Linked DNA regions of Cricetulus griseus. The protein of the gene in region 2 purifies or fractionates together with the protein of the main gene of each other region. This does not show direct contact. Links are inferred from orthologs where the notes say so. Each region holds a gene or a part of one and is shown on either strand. Other genes may lie near its edges. The genes, in order: Abhd10, Kcmf1 and Acot9.

Evidence for each region.
Region 1: the proteins of Kcmf1 (region 2) and Abhd10 purify together in Homo sapiens (affinity purification with mass spectrometry; 3 studies listed by BioGRID and IntAct, counting the BioPlex papers as one, with this or other methods). This does not show direct contact. The link is inferred for Cricetulus griseus from reciprocal best matches to the Homo sapiens genes KCMF1 and ABHD10.
Region 3: the proteins of Kcmf1 (region 2) and Acot9 purify together in Homo sapiens (affinity purification with mass spectrometry; 3 studies listed by BioGRID and IntAct, with this or other methods). This does not show direct contact. The link is inferred for Cricetulus griseus from reciprocal best matches to the Homo sapiens genes KCMF1 and ACOT9.

The regions. Positions count from the first base shown.
Region 1 is NC_048597.1:44,858,495-44,868,834, reverse strand, and holds the start of Abhd10 (mycophenolic acid acyl-glucuronide esterase, mitochondrial), read right to left. Parts: upstream 6,303-10,340; 5' UTR 6,241-6,302; coding exon 6,126-6,240; intron 3,422-6,125; coding exon 3,238-3,421; intron 1-3,237. UniProt on the Homo sapiens protein: Acts as an acyl-protein thioesterase that hydrolyzes fatty acids from acylated residues in proteins.
Region 2 is NC_048601.1:64,624,424-64,635,037, forward strand, and holds the start of Kcmf1 (E3 ubiquitin-protein ligase KCMF1), read right to left. Parts: upstream 5,443-10,614; 5' UTR 5,266-5,442; coding exon 5,250-5,265; intron 1-5,249. UniProt on the Homo sapiens protein: E3 ubiquitin-protein ligase which accepts ubiquitin from an E2 ubiquitin-conjugating enzyme and then transfers it to targeted substrates, promoting their degradation by the proteasome.
Region 3 is NC_048604.1:90,714,130-90,724,410, forward strand, and holds the start of Acot9 (acyl-coenzyme A thioesterase 9, mitochondrial), read left to right. Parts: upstream 1-4,474; 5' UTR 4,475-4,673; coding exon 4,674-4,693; intron 4,694-9,813; coding exon 9,814-9,911; intron 9,912-10,281. UniProt on the Homo sapiens protein: Mitochondrial acyl-CoA thioesterase. Catalyzes the hydrolysis of acyl-CoAs into free fatty acids and coenzyme A (CoA), regulating their respective intracellular levels. Regulates both mitochondrial lipid and amino acid metabolism.

The DNA.
Region 1 (10,340 bases), on a different chromosome or scaffold from region 2:
CTTGCTTCTTTGATTTTTTTAAAGCAAAGTAGGACATTCTTCATTACTACAATGACTAAACTACAGTAAAACATCACTCTGCGTGTATTTTAGTATTCTACCCTTAGTCCAAGTTATGATCTCAATTAGACCAATGCAGTAGTTTTCTAAATCTCTTGTCATTTCTATATTTCACCCTCATAACCTATTCCTAGACAGGAGTCAGAATGAGCCTTTTAAATGAAATCCCACATCATATATGCCTTGTATATTTAATAAAATTCAAAACCCTGACGGCACTTCCTTGACTACCACTCTACCACTCTGACCTCATTTTAGAGATCTCTTTCCCTCCCAACCGAATTCTCACTTTCATTCTTGAAGTTAACGGTGTCACCATCCACATTTCTGCAACAGGAACGTTCTCCTCTACTTGGCATACTTTATCTCCAGACATCCATTAGATATCCCTCACCTCATTCAGTCCTTTAGCTTGTAAACACTGTATCTCATGAAAAGTGGGCTCTGACCATTCATATGCTAAAACTGCTTTTCTTTCACAGCTCTGTACTAGTATTGCTTTATTTTCTTCATAGCACTTACTGCTACTTAGGACTAGAATCAACTTCACCATGAACTCCTCCTTCTAAATTTTCCTAGGGATCCAAGGTCAAAGTCTGTCTAATCGCTGAATTTTAACTTTCCTTCTAGGTCCCGATTCAATAAATTATGAAGTATCCTACCATGTCCCCCAATTATCAAAATCCCCAGTCATTCTAAACTACTCCCAATTCCTGGCCAAACCACTTTATAACTATGAGCTTTTGCATGTCATTCTACTGCCTCAAAAACTCCCCAAACGCCTAGTCATTCTTTAAGCCATACTACTTCGTTTAGTGAACTGTCCTCATTCAGAACCTGTGCTCAAAGGCACAGAGGCAGAGACAGGTGGATCCCACGGGCTCCTTGCAGCTAGTCCAGCCTACTTGACAAGCTTCAAACCAGCGAGAGGAACCCTGTGTCTGAAAATAAGGTGGAAGACTACTGAAAAATCAACAAGCAAGGTTGTCTCCTGGCTTCCACATGCATGCATGGTCATGCTCACACATGATCATGTACACACACAGTGAATTTGGAAGGCTGCTACACTCACTGATATTATAATGCTATACAAAAAGAACTTGATTAAACAATCTGTAGTGAAAGGGCTAGTTTATAAATACATATTTATATGACATCCAATATGCAAGAAACTACATTATACCTGGAGCTGGCTATAGCTTCAAATGAAGTTGAAGAATCAGTAAACTGGTGATTTCTATTTTTATGTGTTTTGCTGTATGTGGCTGTGTTCCTACCTGTGTATGTATGTGGTACACAGGCACATGTACACATGTTTGCAGGGGCCAGAGGCTGACAGCCAATCTCTTTCTTGATCACTCTCCACCTTATACAAATAGTCTGAGGCTCACTGTCGCAGCTCATCTGACCAGCCAGCTTGCTTAGGAGATTCCCTTTCTCTGACTCCCAAATGCTGGGATTCTGGGCAGGCGGCTACACCCAGCCCACCTTTACATGGCTGGATTTAGAGATCCCTACTCTGGTCTTCACACTTGCATTACTCACTGAGCCATCTCCCCAGTCCTAAAATGCCCATTTCTTTATTATTTTTCAGACGAAAAAGCAATGACGGCGATATTCCTGATAATTAAGTACATTCTCCTTAGCGGTCTCTCTCCATGGACAGAACTGCCCTTCTCCCCACATGTTTATTGTTTCCAGAGTCCTGTAGTGGATGCTGTAGCCATGCCTGCGAGGGGGTGGTCAGAGTGATGTAGGGAAGGTTTAAGAGTGAGGGACACTCATGTGGCAGCCCCTTCTTTGGCTTTCATCTTTGGCTTGCTGTACTTACTGCTGGCTAGGTCGCTCTGTAAGTAAGGCTTTTCCCTATTAAATTCCCTTGTATTTCTACCTGGCTCCATATTGGTAATTTCCCACATTAGAGTCCCTTTGTAAAGTCTTGCCCTTCCATTCCCTCCTCAGGATCTCTCACCTTATGTAATCTCTTCTTTTTTTTGAAGCAATTCTGATGAGTACTTCTGCCTAATAACCTGCATGTATTTTCACTCCTTGCTTTAGGGCAAGTACAGTGTTTCATAATTCTTAATACATTATTCACCTCCAGTCTTCAAGGCAAGTTAAGTCAAGAGATTTAAAAATAGTTCTGAGAATGAAAATAAATAACTTTGCTAGTCTGACAAAGGAAAATGGACTAAATCTACCTTAATAACATAATTTCTGCAAAAATACTGAACAGATAATGCCTAAAAGTTTTAATGTAGCTGTATTTTCTAGAACTACTGAAGCAGTATTAGCGAGACTATTCTTCATAACATTTAGATGAATAGATTTTCAGGCTGTTTGTAGTAGAAAAGAACTCATAAGTTATCTTTAGTCCATCCTTCTACTGGAAGACAAACTCTTCTTCTACTGGATGACAAACCTCTATCTACTGTGTATTACTGATTTGAGATTCAGTTTTGGCCTTCAATCCTTATTTCTTCAATTCTACCAATGTTTTGCCCATTGAACTGTATTCCCTTCTTCAAAGTAAAATATCAAAAAATTTGATAAACCTAACAAATTTTGTTACATCAATATATTTTCATTAAAATATTTGAGTGAAAAGGAATAAATATAAAATTAAGTTTTAACTAAACACTACCCATCCTTGTTTATGCTCAAACACATTCAGATTATATAAGTGAAGGAGAAAGAAAACAGAAATGTAAATTATACAATATCAATCTTACACTATTATATTACTTTTAAAAATACTTTGTGTGTGTGTGTGGGTTGTGCTAGGGATCAAGTTCAGGATTTTGTGCTAAACACATGCTCTACTGAGCTATACTCTCAGTCCTAAATGCCTACTTTAGAAAGTAATAAACAGTGATCAGATAAGTCCTATGTCTTAGGACGTAACCCATAATAACAAGTGACTATAAGAAACCCAATGAGAACATGTTTTTGCCACACAGATTACTGTATCTAAAGAACTAGTTGGTAGTTCTCTTATGATGCTCTTTCCTGCCAATCCAGCCAGCTTGGCACAAAGACCTTAAAGACCCTAAACCACAAGATCAAAGTTTGTACACTACTAAAATAAACTCATCTACTCAAATGCTGGCATTTACTTCAGTTGGCTTCATTACAATGCTAAATGGTAATATAACCTCTGAAATGTATTATTCCTACCTTATATAGGCGTGACCTAGAGACTTGCAAAACTCCTCAATTGCCAGTGCCTTGGTACCATTCATATCAGAAAGATAGCCAGGGATGAAGATAATTCCTGGATTTTTGCCTTTTAGCTTCTTATAAGCCAGGTTTGGAAGGTCTGTTCGATTGAGGAAAGAGAGTGATACCTTTTGTCTGCAAGCTAAACAAAGTACACAAAGCATGAATTATAGCTTGAAATTTATTTTGGGAAAGTCACATATATTTTCAAATCTTAACTTTCTTAACTCATTGCATTTGATAGGAAATCAAAATAGGCTTTGTGCATGAGATTTTTAGTTTTAAAGTTACATAAAAAAATTTACCTTCTTAGAGCAAGGCCCAATCATACTCTTCCAAAATACACAATGAGGTGGAAAGTTCAGTGAAACAAAAGAGAGACTCATCAAAAAAATACCTTCATGTTGGTGCCTCGGGATTATCCTAAACAGTAGCAATTAAGATTTAAGATTTAAATACAACACAGCCTCTCCTCTCTCTGTTTTAACCATGTTTCAGGAGTTTCATGTTGTCTACTTTTTGACATATGAGTGGGGAAAAGAAGAACATGTATATTCCATTTTTCCCTTTCCTCTGCCTTTAGAACTGGCAAAATCGAAGGCACAGGCAATCCTAGATCTGGGAAGCAGAGGTACAATATTCAGGAGCTGGGGAGTACTTAGCAAGGAAGGGATGATGCTGTTAGTACTGAGCTCTTTTTGACTAGGTACCACTGACCTATTCCTCCCCAGGAATATCAAGAAACAGGTAAGAAACCACTGTAATTTCCTACCAACTGGGGTTTCAAAAGGCTGTCTTTAAAAAAAAATAACTTTGTATCAAGTATCATTCTTGGAAAAATAACTTCTCATACAACTCTGATTGGTGTGTTTACTTTTGTTGGCTGGCTTTTTCTAAATGGTACACATTTAAATATATCAGGACAAATTGTGAATCTTGATGGGCTAATCTAGTTCACTGTTTTAATTTCCCATTATAAAATCAACACTTAAAAAATCAAAGCCATATAAATATTAAAAAAATAAAGTCACACTTTCTTCCAAAGACAGGCTTGAATACATCTGAATAGTCATTTTCTGGGCCAATAAATCTTTTCTTTTAAAAACTTTTTTAAAAATTACTCATTTAGTGTGTGCACGTACATGCTATGCATCTATGAGGAACTAAGGACACAGTTGTCTCCCTCCACCTTGTGGGTCCAAGGTGCCTTTACTTGCTGAGCTGTCCTTGCTAGCCCTCATTTAAAAGAATAAACAGTCTGTGTGTGGTTAGTGAAACTTCTGGGTCTCTCCCATGTGTAATGCTAAAAATTCTCCCATTTTCAATTTTTTTCAGTTTATTTTCTTTGAAAAAGATGATTAGAGAGTCTAGTGTGGTGGTGCACCCCACTGACCATAACACTCAAGAGCTACAGGCGGAAAGGGATCACTACGAGTCCCAGGAGAGCCAGAGATTATATGGTGAAACCTTGTCTCACTAACACCAGCAAACCATGCACCCTCCCCGAGTGCATACAAAGAATCAAAAGCATTAAAGCTATCGCCTTTACCTGCCAACCAGATCCAAAGTTTCAGAGTATGGAAATATATGCCAAGTTTAAAACTTGGTGAAAAACAGAGCTTCTGGGGATCAGTTTGTGTTGGTCAATGGATTGTATCAGTATCAATGGTCATTCCCCATTTCCTTAATTAAACACACAAATAATCCTTTTATCACCTTTCAGACATTACCTCCCAACACATGAATTTCATCCTAGGAAGTTATTACTGATTTGTTTGTGAGCTACAAAACAACAGGCTCGCCGGGCAATGGTGGCACATGCCATTAATCCCAGCATTTGGGAAGTAGAGGTGGGCGGATCTCTGTGAGCTCGAGGCCAGACTGGTCTACAAAAAGTTCCAGGACAGCCAGGACTGTTTCACAGAAAACCCTGTCTCAAAATAACAAAAACAACAACAAGAAACCAAAACAACCAAAAAAACAACAGACTCAACATAAATCATCTCTATATAATAAGGAAAGCCTGATGAATATATGGCCAATGAATACCGCTAAAGAGATAAAGGAATATTTTATTCTTGCTAACAAATTGAAATACTATACTTTGATGAGATTACATAATAGTCAAGTTTTTTTTTGTTTTTGTTTTTCATGTGCAGTGTAAATTAAACTGGTTACATACTTTAAAAAATTTAACCATGCTAATTTATACAACGACATTACTCTTCCAAAACTCTATGCATCTATCTAACAGCTGTGTGGCAAGTTGCAAAAGGCACAACAAGGATATCATTCACAGATACATATATATATCTATATCTATATATTCTGAATATATGATATATACCATATATTCTATGTATGTAATATTAATACAAATTCTAGTTTTCATTGTGAAGCAATTATAGTTCTTTCCAGAAGAAAAATCAGATATTAGGTCCAAAGATAGCATCTACATGTACAAAGAACATGCCTCATACTCTATTTCCTCAAGTCAACCCTGGGCAGCACTAAGCGTTTACCAAAGTAACGATATGCAAAGCGCCAGAAGCAGCTAATACCCAAATACGATTACATGCACATCTGATTTTTTTTTTTTCCCCCCTGGTCTTAACGTTTGATTCAGAGACCACAGAAGCTCCTTACATCGCTGAGTAAGACGCTGCCAAGAACCTCCAAGAACGCCCCGGGGCCTCAGCAGAAAGTACTGTCCCCAGCCTTCCCCAAAAGCGTCCAGAGTGCCCAGAAAGCCTCAGAGCAGTTTTGAATGGAGCGCCAAGCAGGCTGTCTGCGGCTACGGGACGAACGCCGGGAAGAGGCCGAGTGCCAGCCTTCCCTACACTAACCTGGCAGCCACCATGCGCGGGGGGTCTTCCGGGCTAGCGACGCGCTCAGGCCTCGGTGCCGGCCGAAGAACGCAGCCGCCCAGCCCCACCTCCGACAAGGAACCCAGGCCGCCATCTTCCCAGCTGCCCCGGCGCCCGCCACGGACGTGCGCGGGTCACCGGGTCCCGAGGTCACGCGCGCGCAGCCCGCGGGGAGGCGGAGGTTGCTAAGCTGCGTCACGTGGGAGCTGCGGCTTGCGCGGAGACGCATGCGCAGGGTGGTGAGTACTGTGCCACTTTGTCTGCCAGGCCGTTCCGTCTCCCCGAAGGGTATTTGGCATGCGACATTGGGGCGGCCTTGGCCTGCTTTCTTCACTGTAAGCTGCGGAAATCTCGGCGAGGAGCCAGGGCCAAACTGAACCTTCACAGAAGGGAAACCATGTTGTCATCCGGAGGACCCAAAGACCTGTGACAAAAATTGCTAGGCTTCTGGCATTACCAGTGCCCAACGCTCCGTTTCAGCCTATGCGGGAAAGGTTTCCAAGAGGCAACCTTATCATAAATTCACATCATTGAAGTAACACCAGCATTTCTTGCTCTCCCCCAAACATTTTCCCACTCACCAGATTGCCAAAAATTCAAACGAGCACCCATAAGCAAAGATACTAGAAACACATTGGTTGCTAGGTGAGTGACAATCTAAAGTCTTTTGTCAGGCAATCTGTTCATGTTTATTACAATGCGCATAATTTTCGGTACTCTTTGAACTACCGTCCCCCCCCCCTTTGACTATGCTACATAAAAACACGAGTTCCTAAGGTCGTGTATTACCTATGACAGCAACATTTTTTTTTTTTTAAGATGAAAAAAGGTGGGGAACAATCAATGGCTATAGAAAAAATAATTAAATAAATTGTGATAATAGGGTCTCTAAATTCTGACATCCTTCAAAGTAATGGTAGGGGAGATCAAGTATCACTCAGTATATGCCTTATCTTGTGTATTCTGGTTGAAATTATTGTATTTAGTGCAATACTTTAGGTAAAACCGTGTTACTATTTGTCTTGGTTGGTTTGGTCAGCTTTGGGTATCTGGGAATAGGGAACCTCAACTGACAAATGCCCACACCCATCCTACTGGCCTGTAGGCACTTCTGTCGGGCATCTTCTTAATTGCTGACTAATGTAGAAGGGCCTAGCCCACCAGGAGCAGTATATGAAGGTGGATGGGTGGGTCTGGGCTGTATAAGAAAAGTAGCTGACTGTGAGCCTGGAAGCATGCTAGTAAGCAATATTCCTTGGTGGTCTCTGCTTCAAGCCACTACCGTGAATTCCTGCCTTGGCTTTCCTCAGTGATGAACAGTGACCTGTAAGCTAAATAAACCCTCTTCTCCCTTAAGTTGCCTTTGGTCATGCCATGCATCGCAATGACAGATGCAAACTTGGACACCATCCCTTGAAAGATTTGGGAGAAGTACCAGAGTTAAAAGCAAAGCCAGGCCTGTCTTTGGAGTCTTGAGAAAATGATCTGTTAGAACATACCGGAGAAGCTTGGTGGAGAAAAACGAAATAGATCTTATTTATTTATTTATTTTTTAAAAATCATTTTGGTTTTGTCTCGTTTTTCTATGTCCCATTCCTAAATTAACTAATTAAAGTCATCTTTGCCTGGAAATATGAGAAAACATTAAGGAACAGATCATAGCTGTACATTCCCTTTTTAGATTAGAGGAACTCCTGGTGACTGTGAACAGCATTGGAACTTCAGGAGAGCTCAGTACTATGTGAAGTAGGCAGGTGCCACCTGGATATGCTAACGTGAGACCCCACAAGTCCCATGGACTCTGAATGGAAGCTCTTCTGCTTCCACCTGCCGGTTTGGTGTCAATAAAACTCTGTTTTCCTGTCACTGTGTCTCAAGTCATTGGCATGATCCGTGGCCAGGGTCAAAGCCGAAGTTTTCACAGACCTATTTTGACACTTTGGATATAGGACCTTTCAGAGAGAGGACCAGAACAGATGTAGTCATCAAAGGACCGAATCACAAAGGCAGTGATGTCCAATGAATGCTACCTCTTGTATCTTACAGCAAAACTTATCCTTGATATTGTTAGCCCCATCGGTTTCTTCTACTCTATTTTCAGTGTCTCCTTGTACTTTATATGTAGCAGAATTTCAAAAATCATGTAAATTATCCTAATGAAAAAAGGACTGTACATATATATAGAAGGGGGAAAACCCATGGAGTGCTTTCTCAATGCATGCACTCTTACCAGCAAAACAAATCAGGAAGCTAAGTGGCTTTGTGGCACTGTCAAAAAACCTTCCCTGACAGTAATAGGCTTAAAGTAAAGCAGTTTGGGTTTTTTTGGTCATTATTCCTTCCATCAGCATACAAAAGTAAAAGGACATTTTTGTTTTTGTTTTGCTTTGTTTTGTTTTGAAGGCAGCTTCTCTCTTTAACCTCAGGAAGAAAGAGGTCCCCACGAAGTGGAGCCTCAGAGCTTTCCTTCACATTTGCATTATACCCTTAAGGGAAGTAATGGCTAATCAATACAAAAGGATAAGAATAATATGTAACATTTTTTGTTGTTTACCTCATTTTGTCAGTAATAGAAATGTGGCCAGAGAGGCTTCCAATTATTTTAGTTTATGAATTTCTAATCATAATGTCAGCACATATCAAACTTTATGTAGATTCTACTGTCAAATTTTGTGATTAACTCATCCTCTGTTATGGTACAGATAGGTGATTGCAAAGTGAAAGAAAGAGTTTACTTTCAAATGTGAAATCAGGTCAACATTTTAATCCAAACTCAATACATTTAACACACATATATCTAAAAGGTTCAGACATGCAAATTGATTAGAACACCCTTACAATCCTATGGAGAAAGTACAGTACAGAAAAGTTGTGTCTTTACATCAACCAACCAAATCTTCGCAATTACATTTTAATGTTTTAGACCACTAGAATTGAAGGGGGACTGATGCAAAAATCACAGATGAAAAATACCTCCTACAGTCATGATATTTGTCCCTCATTATTCAAGTAAAATCTTGCATCATCCAGTTGCAAAAATCTTATTATTGGTAACACGTACATAGGTATAAAAGTACACTGTAAGTTTTAAAAAAAATGTACCCAGTAAGGCCTGACAAAGTTTTATGGACATTTCTAATCATTTCATGTGTACGAGTAAGTAATGTCATTATTTTCTACTTCTATCCATTTGGCATGTTTTAGGAAAGAGTTCATTCATACTTACAAACACAAAACACAAAAACTAAAATAAATGGCACTTGGGAAATGATTATAAAAGAGACTTGCCTGAAGTCATTTCATTCAACAAAAATTATCTCTAAAAACAAGGCTATTTGTAAAGATATATGTAAAAAGATATAGCATAGAGTTTGTTAACTTGAATTTTGGTTGTCTCCAAAAAACAAGATATTTTAATTGTTCTGTTTGTCAGCAAAACAGTGATGGTTACATAGTTATCCACGGGAGGGCACAGGTAAAAGCCTTGCCCATAAGCAGGAGGAACTGGGCAGTCGGGAGGAAACTGGCTACTGGTTGCTTTTATTCTCAGCACCAGGAATGGGCAAATCTTCAACAGAACAGGCTCCTCCCACTAAATATTCCCCTTACTAAAAACTACCTGATGTCACAGGTTTCTGTTGTCTGAAATGGCCTTTTCTTAAAACAGAAGCTTTTTTATTTTTTAATTCTTTTAAGAAAGTGGTTTATGATCTATGCATAGTAGCTTCTTTGAGGGACACTACAGGGTTGGCATCAAAATACCATTTTAAAGTGTAGTTAGAGAGTAACACTGATGTTGAAGAGGAGTCCAGCCATGTCTTTGGTTTTCGGGCAGTATTTAAAAACTAAGGCAAAATGTCAAAAATCTGTTGCCTTCTATGTCATTATTTGCTTATTTTTATAAAATGCTACTTCCTACAAAGAAGGCAGTTGATTACCATTGGCAATGATTTGGGTGCTAAAACAATTTCATTCTAAGTACATATTTACAGACATTGTGTAAACTGTTCAGTTTATTTAACCAACATCAACTGATAAAAGAGTTTATGAGAAATGCACATCTAAATGATGCTTTTATCAAAATAGTGTTTTGCTTTTTTTTTTTTTTTTTTTTTTTTTTTTTGTCAAACGAGCCCCTGTTCTTTCACTATGAGCCCTGCTTTCTTTTTCCCCAGTATGAAAAGAATTCTGAGT
Region 2 (10,614 bases):
GGCTCCATGTTTGATCACCAGCACTGCATAAACACAGCATGGTGGTGTGCACCTGTAATTCCGGTCTTAGGAGGTGAAAGCAGGAGGATCAGAAGTTCAGAGTCTCTGAACTTTAAATAGAGTTTAAGGCCAGTGAGAACTGTATGAGACCCTGTCTCAGAAAACTTAACAGTAGCAAGGCTGCCAGTAGCAGAGCTAAGTAAAGCGCCTATACCAAACCCAACAATCTAAATCTGAAGCTCAGGACTCCTGTGAAGGTGAAAAGAGAACCCACTTCTGAAAGTTGCCCTCTGACCACCCCCTTTCCTGAACAAAGAAATACATGCAATATCTACTTAATAAAGAGTATCAGAGAACAAGCTTAAAAAGTACTTGAAAGTTGGTACATAAAGTAATGAACACACCTGTAATCCCAAAACTTGAGGTGGAAACACAGAAGTTCAAGGCCAGCCTGTGTGGAAGGAAGGAAGGAAGGAAGGAAGGAAGGAAGGAAGGAAGGAAGGAAGGGGGAACCAAAAGATATTAAAATCAAAATAGATTCCCTTTCTAAAATTGGGCAAAACGGGGCAAGATGTCTCAGGAAGTAAAGGCATTTGCCACTCAAGCATGGTGAGCAGAGTTGACCCAGGACCCACATAGCAAAAGGAGAGAACCGACTTCTTAAGTTACCCCAACTCAAACATACCCTCCCTCACTCATGTACACTAAATAAGTTAAAATTGGAGCAAAGAGGCATGAACAAAGTTGCGTACACTTTGGCATCCACTTGCTTATTATCTCTTTCTGTGGACCCTTCTCAGGAGTGCTTCCTCGGAAACTGTCTACAAAAGCACATCTCCTACCAGGCTTTAAAGGAAAGGCTGTGTATGTCTCCTTATTCCCCACATCCCTCAGTACCTAGCAGTACATTTTACAGAGTAACAAAACAGCTCAAGGATTTAAAGCTCTCTATTAACTCACATAACCAACTAGAAGACTCATAACTGAGATAATGAGCTGACAATCTGACAGGTTTTTATTTACAAAGCTATTTCCTGACTTTTAAACTCTGAATCGCATACATTTCAAATATGTTGTTTACAAAAACATGACATTAAGATGGAGTGTGTGTAAGACACAGGATTTTGCTATGTAGTCCAGGATGGCCTGGACCTCTAAACCTTTTATCCCAACTTACTGACAGGGTACTGGAAATATAGGCCCGAGCCTGAATGTTTTGCTGTTTTTCTTTGGATGGAACTAGCTGGCATTAAATTCCTAGGCTCAGGGGATCCTCCAGTCTTATTGGAAGAGTGGCTATACCTAATAGCCAAGCGACACATACCTGACACTATTTTTATTTTCCTTTGGTGGTGGAATCCAGAGCCTTATGACGCAGGTTAACCATGCACTGCAAAACCAAGGATGCAGCTTAGCTGGTACATGCTTACCCAGCAAGTGTGAAGCTCAGAGTTCAAGCCCTTACACTCCCGTAATTTAGGCTTGCTTGTAAGCGGGGAAGTGGAAGGAAGAAATCACGAGCTCAAGGTCACTCTTGGTCATCAAGGCCAACCAGAGATACCTAAGACCCAGTCTCAAAAAGAACAAGAAGCAGAGCCACAACAGCTGCAGCCCCGATCAGAGACTAAACACAGAAAGCAGACAACCAATGGGTTTGGTGTGTAAGAAACAGAACTAGATATTGTTGCTATAGAGAACATAAAGTGACTGGATGCTACCACCTGGGAAATGTTTGCTAATATAAAAAGCACATTTCAAAATGAAGTGAAAAGAGGCCTTGCAATTCTCCCCAGTGAAGTCACAGAGAAAACAGGAACATCACTGTTGTGGGGCACTGCCACCGCCATGGACACATTCCTGAAAAGGTAGGAGCCTATGCCCCATCCCTTCTCCCAACCTATGTGGTGCTACCTCATGAGGTGCTGGAGTTAGCTTAGTCCCTGCACTTGCTCATGACCCAATGGAAATATTGCCATACTAAGGGTACGGTCTCCCACCAATTCCAGGCCGCCCAACTCTAAACCTCTACTGAAGGCCAGTGTCAGGCAAACGCCAATGCTTGGATGAATTGTGGCTACCACCAGTTCTTGACTGGCTGGCTGCACTGGTTAAGAATGGCTTTTACATTTTTAAGTGGTGATAGTGGCAGGGTTTCAAGGAATCATATTTCATGACACATGAAAATTGTATGAAATTCAAATGTCAGTGTCCATAAATAAGGTTTTAATTGGAACATTGCCACAACCATTCTAGTGACAGATCTCACAGCTGGCTCAGCCGACAACACTGCCTACCTGGCCCTTTACTTTGGAGAATGTATGCTAACCCTGGCCTAGAGCGTTTCTCTGTGTCCTTGGCTGCATCCATTTTTCTCAGAGCAGTCCAGTGCTTGATCTTGACAGGTGTTCATCTTGGGGCTGTGTGGTCCAAAGTTACATCATCTGTATACTACAGAGCAATTGGTTAGAGTTGGGAGAAGACAAAGTAACAAGTTACTTGTGCACAGAAGCCTGGAAAAGCAAGGAGAAGGCAAGAACATTACAGGCGGCACAGCTCTGGCCTGCACTAGACTACTACATCCAGTTCTGGGTCATACTCCGGAGGAAAACAACAGCAGAGAATGTTGAAGACAGATGATTAAAGAGCTAGAAAATCAGACCACTAAAAAAAAATGCTAAGCTAGGTGTGGTGTCACAAGAGGGAGGTGGCTATAGGCAAATGGAGGAGTGGTAGCAAGTGAGGCCAGCCTAGTTCACATAGTGAGTCCAAGCCTGCCAAGAATCGGTACCATGACCCTGTCTCAAAAACAAGGTTGAGGCCAGACAGTGTGGCACACACCTTTAGTCCCAGCACTCAGTAGGCAGAGTTGGGCAGATCTGAGTTCAAGGCCTGCCTGGTCTATAGACTGGGTTACAACCAGGGCTACACAGAGAAACCCTGACTTGGAAAAACAAAGCTGAAAGAAACAGGCTTAGCTGGCCCAAAGAAGAGAGAGGTAAGTAAAAACCTGGGATTGCACCCTATATTTCATCCAGATGAAAATAATTACTGCCTGAAATAATATACTACAAAACACAGACATATCTCCAGGACAGATGTGATACTGAAACTATTATCCCTGCACTAGGCCAAAACTAGACCCTTAAACTGTAACTGTCTGTTGGCACACAACTTTAATTATAGTTTTGGGAAGGCAGAGGCAGGCAGAATCTGTGGTCAGGCTAGCTAGGGCTACTTAATAAGACCCTACCTCAAAGTAAATAAACAAAATACTAAACTTAGTTAACGCACCTATATAAATACAAACTCACTTGTACAACACTGTACAACATCTTCAACACACCCATTTGAAATTAAGTTGACAAGAAAGGTGTTGCAGATTTCAAGATGTCAAGTAACTAAAAGGCAACACAAGTTTTATAAAAGCACACTTTCCAGGGGCAAACAGGGAAAGACAGACTTAAATTACAAGTGTGTTTTATTAAAGGATATTACATCTACCTAAGCCATTTTAATTACGATAACACACCATCTGAGGGTAAAGGACTCTTTTTTCCAGGCTACTGCTCATTAAGAACATTCTGGATCTGGAGGGGCAAAGATCTCAGACACGTAACTCTCTAGATTATTATTCTGTTATTTTAATCTAGTTCCTGAATTAGAGCCTGCAGCCCATGCTAACTTTCATTTTGTCTTGAAGGCGGTCAACACACCTACTGCTGCAATTTAAACTAACCTTAATATCTCCAAATGGAATTGATTATAACCTTAATTACAACTGTTTCCAAATTACAGCGATAAGGGACACATTCCCATTAAGCATACGGAATGGTATGTTGGAACAGAGTTCCAAATTTCTGTTCCTGATTGGGGCTAAAGTAAGTACCCTGCTATTCCAAAACTTGAACAGTTAGTAATCAAAAATGCTCCAAGAAGTCTCTTTGTTAAAATGTTTGGAGTCAATTTCAGTCTTGCCATTAGGTATGCAAATTCCCAAACTTGCCCTAAACATATGTTAATCAATGAGAGTTTTACAATCTAGAAAATCCATGGTCTGGATTTCCCTAAGAATACCTTTCCTCGGTGAAGCACACCCTAGAATCTACCTCCACAAACTTTCTCCACTCCCAGAACACCTATCCAGGTCTTGAGAATTCAAAGGACAGGAAACTTTCTAGTCACTTCTATAATCTTCCATTAACTGTAGTGAAATAAACTTTTCACTAAGTCGGGTGACTACTTTTTAATGTAAAACCTGCTGTAGTGAAACAAAGAGCACATAGCCCCCTCCCCCTCCCTAAACCATATGGTAGTAAATTCAAGTTAACTTATTTTTCACCAGTTCATCGCCTATCCTTCGGCCTTCAAACACTTGTGCCTTTGTGCCGTGGGGCTGAGACGTGAGGGGTCTGATTCGTAGCCACAGAACCCTAGCGTGTTTTCACAGGGCACCGCGGAAGTCCAAACGCCCCCGACCGTAAGCCTGCTTCGGTGGGCAGCGCACGCGGGTGAGGGCCCGGGGCTGGCCGGGAGCGAGTTCCGCTCCAGCCGGGTGACGGAGCAGGGAGTTTGCTCGCCGCGGCCGGGCTGGATCCGCCCCGGGAACTTGGTTTACCCGAGCCCAGGGACGCGCCGAGGCCTACCGCGAGGCCGGGCGAGCTCCAGTCAGCGAGGGCTGCCCGGGCCGCGGCGTCTTCCCGCCCGCACGGCCGCGGCCCTCAGGCGGGGCGGCCGCTCGCCCGTAGTCTCCCGGACCCCGGACGCGTCCGCTGGGCCCGGACCCCCACTCCCCTGCCGCGGCCGCACGCCGCGACCCGGCTTGGCCACCGCGCCGAGCTCTTCCGGGAGCCGCCGCAGCTAGGCCGCGCCGGGGCCCCGCGGTGCCCTCGGGCCCGGCCGGCCAGGCCTCGGCGTCCGGTATGTGTCCCGAGAGCCAGGCTCCCGCCGGTAAACGGGGCCCTGCCGCCTCCCCTCCCCCTCTCCCGCCCATGACAGTGCAAAGCCTCCGGCCGCGCCGGCCGCCCGCCTCCGGCTCCAGGCCCAGCTCAGGGCCGCCGCCGCAAGCCACGGTTGGCGGCCGCCGCTCCCCGCTCGTCGCTCGCTCTTCGGGCCACGGTCCCCTCGGGGCCCCGGCCCCGCGACTCGGGCTCGGCCCGCGTCCCCGCCGGTGCCCGCTGCCTCGGCAGCGCCCGGACCCCGGGCGGGGTAGGCCGAGGCCCAGGCGGTGGGGGCGGGGGCTCGGCTCTCACCTTCATGTCGGGACATCCTAGTTCAGACGCTGGCGGCGCGGCCCCTCCCGGGCTCCCGGCTGCAGTGTGCCCCCACCGCGGGCTCCCGGCGCTGCCCGCGCCCAGCCGGCCGACTCCCACTCGACTCCCGGGCTCGGCCGCGGGGGCGGGGTGGGCAGGGGAGCGCTCCCGCGGCGGCGGCGGCGGCGCGGCGGCGGGAGGCGGCGCGGGGCGGGAATGGGGCCGGGCCTGGCCGGCTAGCTCCTCAGGAGGCGGGTTCCGACGCGGCCGCGCTTCCGCCCGCGCCCGCCCTGACTCGTCACTCTTGGGCCCCCGCCGGCTCCCGGCAGCGGCGCGGCGTCCGCAAATCCCGCTCGTCCCTCCCCCGGCCGCCCCCCGCCCGTCTCCCGGCTCGGCGCCGCCTCCCCTCCCTCCTCTTCCTCCTCTTCCGCCTCCTTCCCCCGCACGCCCGCCCGCCCCGCCTCTCGCCGCCCCGAGGCCCCGCGGCCGGCGGGCGACCGTGCTCGGCGGCGGCCCGGCCGCGGTCCCGCAGCACCCGAGCCCAGCCGCGGGCCCGCCGCGCTGCGCGTGGGAGGACGAGGACGCGAAACGCCCCGGAGGTGGCTCCCCAGCGCCCGGTCGCGCGCGGCGGCCGGGCCATCGCGGACCGCTCGGGGACACACATGTGCTTGCTGTGTGCTCCTTGAAAGCGGGGAACTCGGAAGGGAAGGGCGGTCGTGCGGGCCTCCGGGGCTTGCGTGTCCCCCCGGGCCCCGCGGGGAGGCCGCGGCCGAGGCCTGGGAGCCCACCCCGGCTGAAGGCTGGGCTGGGTCGTCCGGCCACCGCCCGCCCGAATGCGCTGCGGGGAAAACTTGGTGGGCTTCGGGGCTGCTTTGCTTTCTGCTCGTGGACTGCTTTTCTGTGCGGCGTGTGTAGATGTGTATGCCCTTTCCGCCAGCCTCACCCAGGTTCCTCACAGTCAACTTTCTTTTCAGGCATTACTAATTCAGCAAATACTTCAGACTACCCCTGACCACGTGTCAGTGGTGGCGTGGCGTAGGGAGATCGCGCCCTGTAGTTAAGACCTGTTCAGCCCTGGACTCTGGTGCTGATATGCACGGTGTAACCTTGGACAAGTGACTTAACCTTGCGGTGCCTCCGCTCCTTCTCGTTCGCTTTCGGTAGTGAATTTTGTCCTCGTCCACTCGGAATTGGACAAAGTTCCCAGCTAAGTTTACTGAAACAGGGTTCCAGAAGACCGCTTGCTTTGGCGATTTTCCTAATCTGCCCACCCTCCACTGACTGTGTGGCCCGGTTCAAGCTTTGGTTGCCTTGGCTTCCGTGGCTTTCTGAAAGGGCATAGCTAAATAGATGCAGAAGAGGTACAGTACCAAGATTTAGTATGTAAGCTGTCTGGCAGAGGAAGGACCCTGTTCGTTACAATGTTTTATTGAATATGATTTAAGATATGCCTGTTTTTTAAAAAATATTAAAAGGTTTAATTCGAGGAAATATTTAGTAGATCACCCCCATCTGCCCAAGGAACTTGTGTGTATATAGCTGTTATCACTGAGAAATAAACCAGGGTTTTGGGTTTGTTTGTTTGTTTGTTTTAACTTGGGGGGTTTTGTTTGAGATAGAACCTCATGTAACCAGGCCTGTGCATGAATCCCTTATGTAGCCGAGGATGACCTTGAACTCCTGATCTTCCTGCCATCCCCACCTCCCAAGTTGTGATATTACAGGCATCTTCCATCACACTCCCACCTAACTTGGGTTTAAATGAGGACTAGATCACTAGAAATAGTCCCATTTCATGTGTGGACACGGATGTTGGAGGAAGAGGTTCAAGCTAAACAAAAGTAAGGGTTACATAGGTAGAGCAGGGTTGGTAGTTGGCCTGCCTAACAATGACACAGTTAGTGGGTAAGATCCTTCTAATCATTTTTAAGTTATTGGCAAAGGATTTGGAGTATTAGTCTAGTTCCTGAACTTCTCTAACTGAAAATCAGGCTTTTAACAATTCACATACACCACTCTCCTAACTGAATGGTGATTTTATATAAATTTATATCAAAGTTTTTAAGCAGTCCTGTAAAAATGCCGGAACAGTTAGGGTGGCCAACAAAAGCAACACCTACAGAAAGGAAAACCAGTAAGTATGAAAAATTGGACATGAAACTAGGAAACTATTTAGGAAGAGGAAGGGACTTGGACCTAGGAGGTGGTGTGTACACCTAGTACAGGAAAAAGTTCTAATATATAGGAAACTCAGTATTATGGGTATGAATATTACTAAGGCACAGAAACATTGAAAGACAAGTTTTATTGTATTGAAGGGTTAGCCAGTCTTGTTCATGGGAGCAAATATGCAGCTCTGTCTGACTTCCAAGGAACTACCATCAGTTCTCTGATTCGCTGTTTTCAATTGGGAAGAATAAGCATAAGAAACTTTCTATTCCAGTAAGATTAGACTGGATCATTACCATAGCTATGAGGTTTTATCAACTTAGTCAGAGGTTGGGCCTTTAAATTCAAAACAAAGCCCAGCCTCTTCAGAGGGTGGTGGTAAATTCCTGTAAATTCAGCTCAGATGTTCCAGGCCTGGACTGGCTGGGTAACTGAAGGAGCTTGCTGTTGAATTCATCCTTGGGATCTATATGTTGAAGGAGAGAAAAACTCCTATGCATTGTCCTCCAACCTCCATGCTCATGCACTCACACAAAATTCAAGGCCTGACCCTCCTCAAAAACAGCAATAATAAATATAAATAAAATCACTTGTTTGCATTGCTGCCATATGGGAAATGCCATTAGAAAAAAAAAAAAACTATATTTGCTGTGGGTTCAAGGCAAGCCTGGGTTACAGAGAGAGAGAGAGAGAGAGTATAATCTTTATGCCAAATTGCTCAGTAAATGATTTTTTTCCAATTTAGTATTCTCCTGCTGCCTCAGCTTCCCAAACTCTGGAGTTACAGGCACAGATCACCATGCTCAACCACTTACAAGATGTTTTTGTTGATGTTTAGTACCCCAGGTTAGCCTTGAAGTCTCCAGATCTTCCTGTTCCCAATGCTGACTTGCTTCCCCTCCCCCACCTTGAAATGTTTCCTCCTAGCACTGTCTCTCCTATGCTTCTTTGATCTGTCCTGTGTCACTTGTAAGTAACAAGTGTCTTTACCAAGCTAATCTATGTTCATGGATGATGGCCCAGTTGTGTTCTTTAAAACAAGCAGTCAAATACATTATAATGAGATTCAAATAAAGTCTGTAGTCCAGTATATAATATCTTCCCATTGTCACCCTCACTGTGACTTCTGTGAGTCAGGCCGTGGCTCACAGTTTTTTGGCTTTTGTGTTTTTCTGTAGTTCTGTAAGATATTAAGATTTGGGAGAAGTGAGCCAGGCATAGCAAGCAGTGAATGCCTTTAGTTCTAGCACTTACGAAAGTGTCTCTGACTTTGAGGCCAACCTGGTCTCCCTTGGTGTTCCAGACAGCCAGAGCTACATAGTGACACCCTGTTTTAAAAAAGAAAAAAAAAAAAGATTGGGGGAAGTGTCTATGTGTCCTTAAAGTATGAAATTAAATCATATGGGCAAAAATCACACAGGCAATTACCTGCAGCTGAGGAGCTAGTTTGTCTATTGAGAACTTCTGAGATGATGGGGATATTCTGTACTGTGACTGCAATTCTTTACATTGCTGGATATGCTTGTCAGAAGTTAGAACCGTATGCCACAATAAAACTGTCCTTCAGCAAGAGAACCAATAGTGTTTGGGCATAGTGGCTCAAGCCTATAATTCCAACATTCAAGAGGCAGAATCAACACAATTGTGGGTTCAAAGCTAGCCAGATTTACATGCGTTCCAGGCTACCTATGGCCACATATGAGATCTTGCCCCCAAAGTAGGACTAGAGAGATGGCTAAGAGCACCCACTTCAGGTGGCCCACAGCCACCAATGGCCTCTTCTGATCTCTACACGCACCTGCACATATGTGGTGCATATACATAAATAAAATTAAGTTCTGTGGGGTTTGTTAAAGAAGAAAAGGTCTGTCTACTCAGCAAGTTCCAGGCCAGCCAGCCTCATCAGGAGATGTCTGAAAAGTACTTTTAAAAAAAGAAAGCAAAGCAAGACTTGGGTTTAGTGGTGCATGCCTGTCCTGGCACTCTGGAGATGGCGTCAAGACAAAACCAGGTTAAGCTATATTGATGCCCTGTCTCAAAGACAATTAAAGAAGCACCACGGGGACTGGGAGATGGCTCCGTGGTTAACAGTGCTTGGTCCTCCAGAGGATCCAAGATCAGTTCACAGCACCCAGGTCTGGCCCTTCACAGATGCCTGCAACTCCACTGCCTGGGCATCTCTTCCCCACTTCTGGCTCCCCAAGCATCGGAACACGTGTGATATACTCATATGCAAATAAACTGAAACTTAAACCAACAGCAAGGTCCTGTTGCCTGTAGAATGAGCTGCAATTAGCTGTGTAAGGCTGGATGTGTTTTCCAGCCTCCTGACTTTCTGCCAAGACCCTTTGCCTTCTTCTCCCATGCTGATTCCTGCTCTGGGCCACTGCACCCACTCTCCTTTCTGTTTATTGGGGGATTAGATAATTTTAGCCCCAGTTTAAGTTCATATTCCCTGTACCTTAGTAAGCTTTTCCTGTCTGCTCAAGCTGTGTGTGTGTGGTGTGTGATGTTTTTCATGTTTTCATCTTCCTGGTAGACTCCTCTGGGGGCAGGGACCACAGAACCTCCTTCCTTCACCAGGATGTAGTAATGATGAGTGAATGGATCTGTCACAGGTGGCACAAGCAGGGATTCAGTGAGGCTATGAGATGGCAAGACGGGTCCATTTGGAAGCTTCTTGCTGTTGCATTTTCTTACCACCTTGGGATGTGGGTGAGTAAACAGTTGGGAATAATTGGTGAAGGTTTATAGTATTTTTCTTTCTCCACTTTTGCATATATGTTTGTGGTATACAGGCATATGAATGTATGTATGATGTGGCTGCACATACGTGTGTGTGGAGGCCAAAGGTTAATGTCAGGAATCTTCTTCAATGGCACTTCTACCTTATTTACTGAGGCAAGGTCTCTCCATCAAACCCAGAGATCACCAATATGACTAGTCTTGCTAGTCAGTTTGCTCTGGGGATTTCTGTCTCCACCTTCGGGTTTCTGGGGATTGGAACTCTGACCCTCACACTTGATAGCAAGTGGTTTACCCACTGAGCCATCTTCTTAACCCCACATATAACAACCTCAGAGGGCCTAGAGATATGGCTCAGGATTAAGAGTGCACCCTGCTCTTGCAGAGACCCCAGTTTAGTTCTTATCACCTACGTCGGTGGCTCACAATCACTCAGAACTCCAGCTCGTGG
Region 3 (10,281 bases), on a different chromosome or scaffold from region 2:
TTTTTTGCCAGGCTTAATGGATACAGGATAGTTATGGGTAACTTGTGACCTACTCTATTCATCAAAGTTCTTCAGAGAAATCATTGGTTTTTGTTAAAATCAATTTTCTTTTATGTGTATAAGTGTTTTGATTGCAGTGCCTTGTACCTGAGGAGGTAAGGGCAATGGATCCACTAGAGCTAGAGTTACAGACAGTTCTGAGCTGCCGTGTGGGTACTGGAAGTTGAACTTGAATCCTCTGGAAGAGCTGCCAGAGCTCTTAACTTCTCAGCTAACTCTTTAGTCCCTAGAGAAACAGTTTTTATCCAGGGAAACTGCACCTACACTTTTGCTTTTTAAATTTCATTTTGGAGTTATGGAGATTGAACATAGGACTTTGTGTAAGTTTGGGTTTTTATTGCTGTGACCAATAAAAATCATGTGGGTTTTTATCATCATGACCATGACAACTTATAAATAAAGAGCTTGATTAGGCTTATTGTTTCAGAGGGTTAGAGTCCATGATGTCAGAGTAAAGGTATGGTGGCAGGAACAACTGAGAGCTCACTTCTCATATAGCAAACAAAGAAGAGAGCACATTAGGAAAGACATGAGTCCTTAAAACCTCAAAACCTGTTCCCAGTGACAACCTCCTCCAAACAAAAAACCACACCCCTTAATCCTTCCCAAAGAGTTCTGTCAATTGGGTACCAAGTATTTAAACATAGATGCTTATGAAGGCCAATTTCTTTCAAACCACTGCAGACCTTTCACATGTTTAGCAAATGCTCAACCATTGAGCTACAGCTTTCAGTTTTGTTTTATAAATCATGATCTCTGGTAGCAAATGGGAAAGAATCCAGTTAATTTGGCTGCTATTTAATGAATGTGTTTGTTCACAGGGCATCTTTGCCTGATAAATGTAGCTCTCACTCCTCATCAAAGAAGCTTCTCTTTGCATCAGATAGAAACAATAACAGAAAACCACAACTGGTTAAAATATACAGAAAACTTATTCTGGAATGCCCATCCCCAGTGGATAACACAACTCCTGCACATAAGGCTCAGGAACACTGAGGAAGAATGAAAGGGAAGAATGTAGGAACCATCAGGCCACAAAGTCTGATGTGAGATTGCATCTGCTAATAATGATGGGGAAGGTGTACCCACATACTACAACAATATGACTGCCTAAACAATGAGAACACTAATTGACATGCTAATGTGGGAGGGGAAAATATCAAGGGGCCCCATCACTAGACAAAGGACTGCAGGCAATTAAGGGATGCTGAGAAAGGGTGAATTAGTCTTTCCCATGAATGAGCCTTTTAATTGGTCAGCCATAAAATCATCCACATACAAGCAACACTAAATAAACTCAACATGCTATATTTATATATTTGTGTATGCATATATATATGTATGTGTAAAAAATATGCATATATTTGTGTGTAATGATAATAATAAAAATAAAGAGGCTCTGAATTTGAGAGGGAGGAAGAAGATGTGTAGAGGGATTAGAGGGAGGAAAATGAAGGAAGAAATGATGTAATTAATGATATTTAAATTCAAATAAAAATATATAAGCAAAAACAATGAGAGGGCTAGAAAATGGATTAGAAGTTAATGGAATTGTGGTATTTTGAATAATAATGGCCCTCGTAGGCTCATATATTTGAATGCTTAGTCACTAGTGAGTGGCAATATTTGAAGGATTAGGAGGTATGATTGTGTGAGTAAATGTGTCATTGGGATGGGGTTTGAAGCTTCAAAAGCCATGCCAGACCTAGTCTCTCTCTCTCTCTCTCTCTCTCTCTCTCTCTCTCTCTCTCTCTCTCTCTCTGTGTGTGTGTGTGTGTGTGTGTGTGTGTGTGTGTGTATTTGCCTATGGATCAGGATGTAGAATTCTTAGTCACTTCTCCAGAACCATGTTTGTCTGCCTGCCACCATGTACCCTGACACAATGATCGTTAGAATACAGTGTATGAATGAAGCTGTGTGAGAAGAATTCTGATTGCTTGTAAGAAAACATGACAAGAGTCCTGTGACCTCAGTCTTCCAAAGCATAGGATTGTCCTTGGAATATGCTTTTGTGCACCTCCCAGGGTCATGATGTTGCCTTGGTCATGATATCTCTTCACAACAATAGAATAGTGACTAAGATAGGCAGGCACTATTCTTACAAAGGAACTAAGTTCAGTTCCCAACATTCACATCTGTTGGCTGACAATGGTTCACAAACACCTGTAACTCCAATTCTGGACTTCACAGGCACCTGTTGTCACACACACACACACACACACACACACACACACACACACACACACACACCTCTAGATACACACACATGATGAAAAACTTAAAATCTCTTCCTGTAAATAAATAAAAGTTTGAGAAAGATAATGTGTTTCAGATGGACATTCAAACCTACTTCTAAGATGGTTCATTCACAGGACTAATAGAAATAATAGAATAATAATTCCTTAACAGGAATAATAGAAAATTAACTAGGATGGTCTCCTAATCTATTCTGTACCCTTTCCAAACCCTTTGGCAATAGGGCTCAAATACAAGACCTTACACATGCTAGGCAAATACTACCACTGAGCTAACATCTCAGCAACATGGCCTCCCTTTAATTTATTTTGAGACAGAGTCTCACTATTTTGTGTTGGCTGACTTTGAACTCATTACAAATCCCAGACTAGCTTCAGAACTTGTAATTCTCTCACTTCAAGTCTCCAAGTAGCTGATATTTCAGACATGTGCCATCACATCTGGTTCATGTAGATAATTTTGGATTAGCTATATAATATGGGAAGTAAGCTAATTTTAAAAACACAGTTTCTCTAGCCTATGAAATTATAACATAAATTAGTTTGAAAGTGGATGCCATAGTCTCTAAGGAAAATTATTTATTTAAACCAGATACCCAAAATCTATATGGTTCAGCATCTCAAGGAAATATGACTATTAAAATTTTTTGATCATAAGACATGACTAAACTATAACATATAATCAGATTTTGTTATGCATTGTTCTACTTGTAGTAAAGACATTGATAATGTACCTGTCAATCTATCATTAGGTGTTTTGAAATTTTCATTACCTGTGGAACACAAGTAAGAAAAATGGTGAGTTGGCAGATGGGTTGTGTAAGGACAGGGATTTTCACCATTACACAGTTGTTACATGTTTCCTGTCTGGCTTTGTGACTACTTTGCCTCCCATCCCTGATTTTCAAACTGTGATGCATAAATGCCTTACAATAGCAATAAGAACAACAATGAGACACCAGGGTTGCTAAGACATCAAAAGAATTTAAAAAAAATGTTTTTATGTGTATGAGCCTTTGCTTGTATGTACGTAGGTATTTATGTGTACTATGTGTGTGACTTGGTATGTGCAGAAGCCAGAAGAGGCCACCAGATCCCCTGGGATAGTTTTGCACTGCATGTATGTGCTGGGCATGGAACCTTGGTCCCCTGCAAGAGCAGCAAGTGTTCACGACTGCTGAGTTGTCTTTCCAGCCTGGTTAAAAATTGAGATAGAGACACATATGAATGCTAGGTTGGCTGGTTTTAACATGGCTTCCCTGACTTTAGAACTAAGATAAGTGAGCCAAGTATTGAAACTTTGCCCACTTTAAATATCATTTGTAGTGGAGTCTATGGGGTTCATTGCTCAGGCCTTTTTTTTTTTTTCCTAAAAAATGTTTCCTACTCTCACCAATGGTCACTAATTCGAACATCTATATTAGTAGATTGTGACTCAGGACCTGGCCATTGGCCTGGGTGAGGGAATTCCTGTTAAGACCTTCTCACAATCGATTCCTCTAGGAATGTGCCATCATGCCTAATTCCTGAAGATTTCATCTATTCTGTCTTTTTTTCCTCCTCATTTGGTACTGGACTGGAACTTTCTCTGTCGCCAGGCAGATTGTGAATTTGTGATCTTCCAGCTTCACTCTCCTTGGTTGCCTGGATAACAGGCACGGGCCACCCTTCAAAAATTCTCTTCAACTTAGTTTTTCTCCCTAAGCATTTTTTAAAACCAAAACTTCAAATAAAAACAGGAACAATATTTCTTATGGCTTAGAACTCACTTTAGCCCAGGCTGCCTTCTAATTGGAGGCTATTTTCTGGCCTCAGTCTACCTATTGCTCGCAGAACAAGCATGGTACCCATATTTTGGAAAGCTGCTCAGATGATGCCAAGGGCAAGAACCACGGACTGGCAATAAACCTGCAAGAGTCAAGGACTAAATCATTCAACTCCAGCAGAGGTTCACCCAGCCAGTACATCACTCCGCTCTGACGAGTTGTGCGGAGTGGTTCATTTCCTTAACAAAGGAGGGAAGAGTCCAGTCTGTTAGTCTAGGACCCCACCTAGCTGATTGAATGGGAAGTTCCATTAACTGCGTCTCCAGCTACCCGCCAATCAGGACCTTCGTTCTCTACGCGGTAGTCCCGCCTCCGGGCAGCATAGCCCCGCCCTTCCGACAGTGAGGCCCCACCCCTCCCGGGTGCTCTTGTGGCGTACTCTCCAAGGTGGCGAAGCAAGCAAGATTCGGTCCTGTGCAGTTCTTGGTGTTTGGAATCAGGCTCACACTCAACGCTCTTCTGTCACCTGTTTGCCTCTGCCCAAGAGTGCGAGTGACTCGGTTGTCCACCCGTGGCTAGGCAGTGGATTGCCATGAAGCGGGCAGCGATGCGGTAGGTGGCAGTGTGTGGAAGGGCTTAAGAGGGGCGCTGTCCTGGGATGCCCACGCCTTTGCCGCGCAGAGCGGGGCGGAAGAAGCCTTGGGCGGGACAGAAGCGGTGTTTGGCTTTACAGGAAAAAGCACCCGCAGCCCTGAGCTGGGCCCACCAGACAGCCTAGTCTGGAAGAGTGCCGCCCTGCTTTAGTGACAGCTGGCACTCTTAAAAGGGAAGACTCAGGGTGTTCCCTTGAAATTCCTATCCCTTTGCTCACCAGGGGTGTGGCTGGAACCTTGGGGTAGCCTCCTTTCCGAAAACAAGCCAGTCAGTATTTTCAGTTCCACTTTGCCTTGCCTTGCCAGCCCTTTTCTCTTTGAAAAACATTTTGGAGGTTACACACTTGACACACTTGGAATCTGACTTAAGTAGGTTATCACATGTGCAAAGATTGTAGAGTACCGTTTGGCTCTCACAAGTTGATTCATCTGTTTTTATTTTTTAGATTTATTTTTATTACTTTATATGTAGAGTGTCTTCCTTGCATGAACGTCTGTGCACCACATGCATGCCTGGTGCCTGAGGAAGTGGTGAGCCTCCATGTGGGTGCTGGGAATCAAACCCAGGTTCTTTTTGCAACAAATGCTCTTAACCACGTAACCAACTCTCCAGCCCCTTGTTTATTTTTGAGACAAGGTTTCACTATGTAATCTTGGTTGCCCTAAAATTCGATGTGTATATCAACCCGACTGGCCTCACACTCAAAGAGTGCCTACAGCTTTCTAATGCTGGGGTTAAAGATCATGTGCCACCACTTCCGGTTCACATCTGTATATTTATTCATTGGTTTGGGAGAAGAAGAACTAGCCGGCCTCATACCCCTGACAGCGCTTCAGCTTTCAACTTTTCTAAAATCTATTGGGACTTACAGATGTACATTATCATGGCCAGTTTAGAACATGGCTTTGAGAAGTAGAAAGGTGCTTGCAGTGAAAGTGCTTTCTTGGACCACTTTCCAACTGGCATAGTTAAGGACTAAGGTCTTTAGACTGTAGGGCATATCTGGCTGTCCCTAACCCACAACATGCAGGGATTTTTTTTCTCTTGCCTGGTTTCCAAGAGATGACGCTTGCTCTAGGTTCAGAAATCATCCTGCTGTTGGTGAGATTGACCTTGACATGTGTCCCACTAATTCGATAGGGGTCTCTGATCTGCCTTTATTCTTCCTAGGAATCTTGCTATCAGGTGAACCAAGTGGGTTATCTCACCATCCACCAGCACCTAACATTTGTCAAACTATTTGAAGACAGGTTCAAAGCCATTAAAAGAAGGGCATGATTCCTTAGACTTCTACAGGTTTTGCTGCCTTGCCCTTGTGCCTTCTTCCATAAGACCTTTAAAAAGTGTTGCAAAACTTTATTTTCATGTGTATGAGTGTTTTGCTTGTATGCATGCATGTGTTGCATAAGCATGTCTGCTGCCAGTGGAGGTCATGAGGGAATCCCCTGGAACTGGAGTTAAAGATGGTTATGAACCACCATGTGAGTGCTGGTCGCCAAATCCAGGTCCTCTGCAAGAGCAAGAAGTACTCTTCACTGGACTAGAGAGCTGGCTCAGTGACTAAGGGTAGTGGCTGCTCTTCCAGAGGAACCAGGTTCAAGAACTCCTGTTGCAGGAGATCTGACCTCCTCATTTGGCCTCTTCTGTCACATGTAATTCACAGACATACCTGCAGGCAGAACACCCATATACATAAAAAGAAAATCTAAAAATTTTTTTAAAGAAGTGGTTGTAATTATTGAGCTATCCTTCTAACCCCCACAACACCTTTCCTGAGCTCTTCTAGCAGTTCAGAAGTCCTTCCTTGCACTCTATACCTTTGTGTTCCTTTCTTGTTAGTCCTATTGAACCTTCTGTCAATGTCTAGTAGAGAAGTAATCCCTACGTGAGTATAGGCTGTCTGAACTGATGAGGTTATTTGGTGTTCACTTGTGTAGCTTCTTCCCAGACACATATGAGTCATGTCACTTGATTTAGTCTCCATGTTGAGGTATTTTCTCAGAGTTCTGGGCATATGAATAACTATGCCTGTGCAATTGCAGCTGAGGTGTAGCCCAGGCCATCACTCACGTTAAGCAAGTCCTCTTCCACTGAGCTAACAACCCCCCAAGGCTTGAACTATCTGATAATATACTGACAATTTTTGCCATTTTCTCCATATTTAGAACCTAAGATGCAGCCAAGCTGTTTCTTTTCATAACTTCAGGTGACTCTGTAGCTCCCTAGGCAAGCCACGGAGAGGCTGAAATTCTCTGTACTATTTCCTTAGAAATGTTCAATCTTAGGGTCCTTTGGCCTGAGTATCCTAAAGGACCCATGACAGTTTCCTCTAAAAGCCTAGGGATTTTGTTTTGGTGCTCCTGGGGGCTTATCAGAGATAAGGAAGAGCACAGTGCTGTTAAGAGATTTTGTCATTATACAACACCACCGAGTGTGCGTACACAAACACAGATGACACAGCCTAGACCACATGTTATAACTTACAGTTCCTGGACTGGAAACCTATAGCACAGTACCATATTGAATGGTGTGAGCAGTTGTAACACAGTGGTGAGTTATTTGTATGTCTGAAACAGAAAGATGGAGTGTTACTATGATGCAGAAAATAAAAAAGGTGCACTCCTTTATCATTAATGGAGCTTATGAGATTAGAAGTTGGTCTAGGTGAGTCAGTTCAAAACACTAATATATGGATACAGCTGTTAAACAGCCATCCCTTTTCATATCATTGTTCTATAAGTCCTTTTTTAAATTTGAAGATACACAGTTCAGGGACTAGAGAGATGGCTGTGTGGTTAAGAGCACTTGCTGTTCTCCCAGGGGATCTGAGTTCAAATCCCAGAACCCATGTCAGACTGCTCACAATCACCTGTACCTCCAGCTCAGAAGAGTCCTTGCCCTCTGCCGGACCCCACAGGCACCCACACACACCAACATGCATGTCCACATATCCACATACAGACACATACCTCTACCTTTTTCATGTTGCAATTGCAGGCATGTGCCACCACCCTTGATTTTATGTATACTGGAAACTGAACCCAGCACTCAACCAACTCAGCTATTTGCTGAGTTGAAACAGTTTATTTTCATAGTTTTTTGAATTGCCTTTGAATATATTTCCCATCTTTTAAGGCTGCATACAAAACTTATGGCTGTGAGACTGACTTTGCAAATAGGTTGACTCAGGTGTCTGTATTCAGTTACCCCTTTTTGTGTTACTGGGGTGTGAACTCAGGGCCATTTTGTCTTTCAGTTAATGTTAGCAATGGAAATGATTAGCTTTTCTTTTTGCAATGGGTTCTTCATATTTGTGTGTGCATATTGGTGGAGGTGTGTGCGCATGTATGTTTGCAAGTATGTTTGTCTCTTTGCATGCAAAAACAAGAGGAGGCCACTAGGTATCCAGCTCTATTCCTGGCCTTATTCCCATGAGACAGGAGCTCTCACTGAGACTAGAGTTCGTCATTTAGGCTAGTCTTCCTGTCTCTGGGGTTATAGGCACCCAAACAGCCACACCTGAATTTTTATATGGTTGTGGACATTTGAACCCTCTAAGCTATCTCCCCAATCTCTGCAGTGGCTTTTATTTAAAAAATATTATTGTGTGTTTGTATAAATACTTGCATGATGTATGTGTGTGTGTGCATGCATGCCAGCTTTGTGGAGTCAGTTCTTCCCTTTTTACCTTTCTGTGGGTCCTTGGGATTGAACTCAGGTTGCCAGGATTGTGACTTTATCACCCTCTATCCCATGTATGTTCTTTAAAATTTGGTGTGTTCTGTTTCGGAAACCTGGTTTATGAGATAGCAGGATACAGGGATACATAACCTACTTCTACGAGTAATAGATTTGAATTTATATAAAAATGTATACAATGATGAAAAACAGAACATCTAAATCATGTTGTGAGAAAATTCAAATTTGAAGGCAAAGATCAAGAAGACTAGAACATTAATCCGTGTAGAAAAGTACAGAAAAGGGAAAGGTTACTGTGTGAAAACAAAAATGTCAAGTGACTGGCAGCCATATTGATGAAGAATAAAGAGGGCATAAAGACTAAAGTCCTGCAGTGAGCATTTCTGTTTTAGTGGGCCAACATGGATTGTGTCACAGCTAAAGAAGATGACAAGGTGGCTAAGGAGTTAAAATTTCCAGTGAGCAAGTATGCATAATTATATATTCTTTTGCAGTTGAAATAATTGGCTTGGTGAATGGTAAAAGATTTATTCTAGCAGCACATAATTGTCAACTATATGTAGGTAGATTTTTACAAAATATTTTTACTGAGTGACTTTCACTGAATGCTGTAACTCAGTAACTTGCTCTAAGAAAAGGTGAAAATGTAATGTTTTGGTTAGTCATTATCCTGATGTTATGTAGTAAGAATTTGCTAGTAACTTGAGCTAGAATAACTTGACAGTGTTTAGAATTCTTTCTCCCTTCAGTTAGTTTTCAGCTTTCACAGATTAGTTTGTTAATTTCTAGTGTGAGTGTGTGTGTTTGTGTGTGTGTGTGTGTGTGTGTGTGTGTGTGTGTGTGTAAGGGGGGTAGGGGAGGGAGAGATGAGAGAAGATCTCATTATTTAGCCCTAGCTGTCCTGGAACTCACTATGTAGATGAGGATGGCCTTGAACTCACAGGGATCTGCCACCATGCCAGATTGATATATGTTATTACCAATATGGAAGAATGTAAGTGTATATAAGTCTATGGTTGTCAACACTTAAGCAACACTGAATTAACATCAGCTTATCCGTTTATCCAATTTATTTTAGAGAGGATTGGTAAGGCTCCTTTGAGTACGTAGTTTTTATTTTCTTTCATTAGGGTCCTAGGAAATTTCGAGACAAGTCTAGTAAGTACTTTTCATTGAGTGCAAAGGGCTGATTCAAAGTTCAACAATGATTAGCTGGTAATTGAGTTGATCTTACTTATTGAGGAAATATGGTGTGATAATAAAGAACAAAGAATGTACTAAAGCTGGTGTGTGATTGGGTACTCTGGAGGAGATGACACCTTGCAGATTCCCAGAGAAGCAGTTCTGGAAACTTACGTATGCTTTCTCTTCTTTTCCAGGCTTTGTACCTTGAACAGGGGGCTTTTTATTCATGGCAGAGGACTGACTCAAGGATACCAGTACACCCCAAAACAAGGACCCTTACACATGCGTGAAGGCAAGCGTGATTGTGTTTACCTTTTGTGCCTCCATGATGAGCAAGCCCATTTACCTTGGGCTGTGCATGGAATCATAGCAGCAGTAATGAAATGTGCATGTTAAAGATTGACTTGTAATTAATTACATATATGTGTGGGTGGGGTGAGGTGTGCACAAGAATACATGTGCATGTGGAAGCGTCCTTTCTCTTTGGAGTTACAGGTGGTTCTGAGCCACCTCATACAAGTGCTGGGAACTGAATTAGGGTCTTCCACAAGAGCAGTACGTGCTCTTAACCACTGTGTCATCTTGCTATCCCTGAGACATACATGTTAATTGTCAGTGTTTCGTAAACATCACATATATAACATAATGAAGAGAGTTGCATA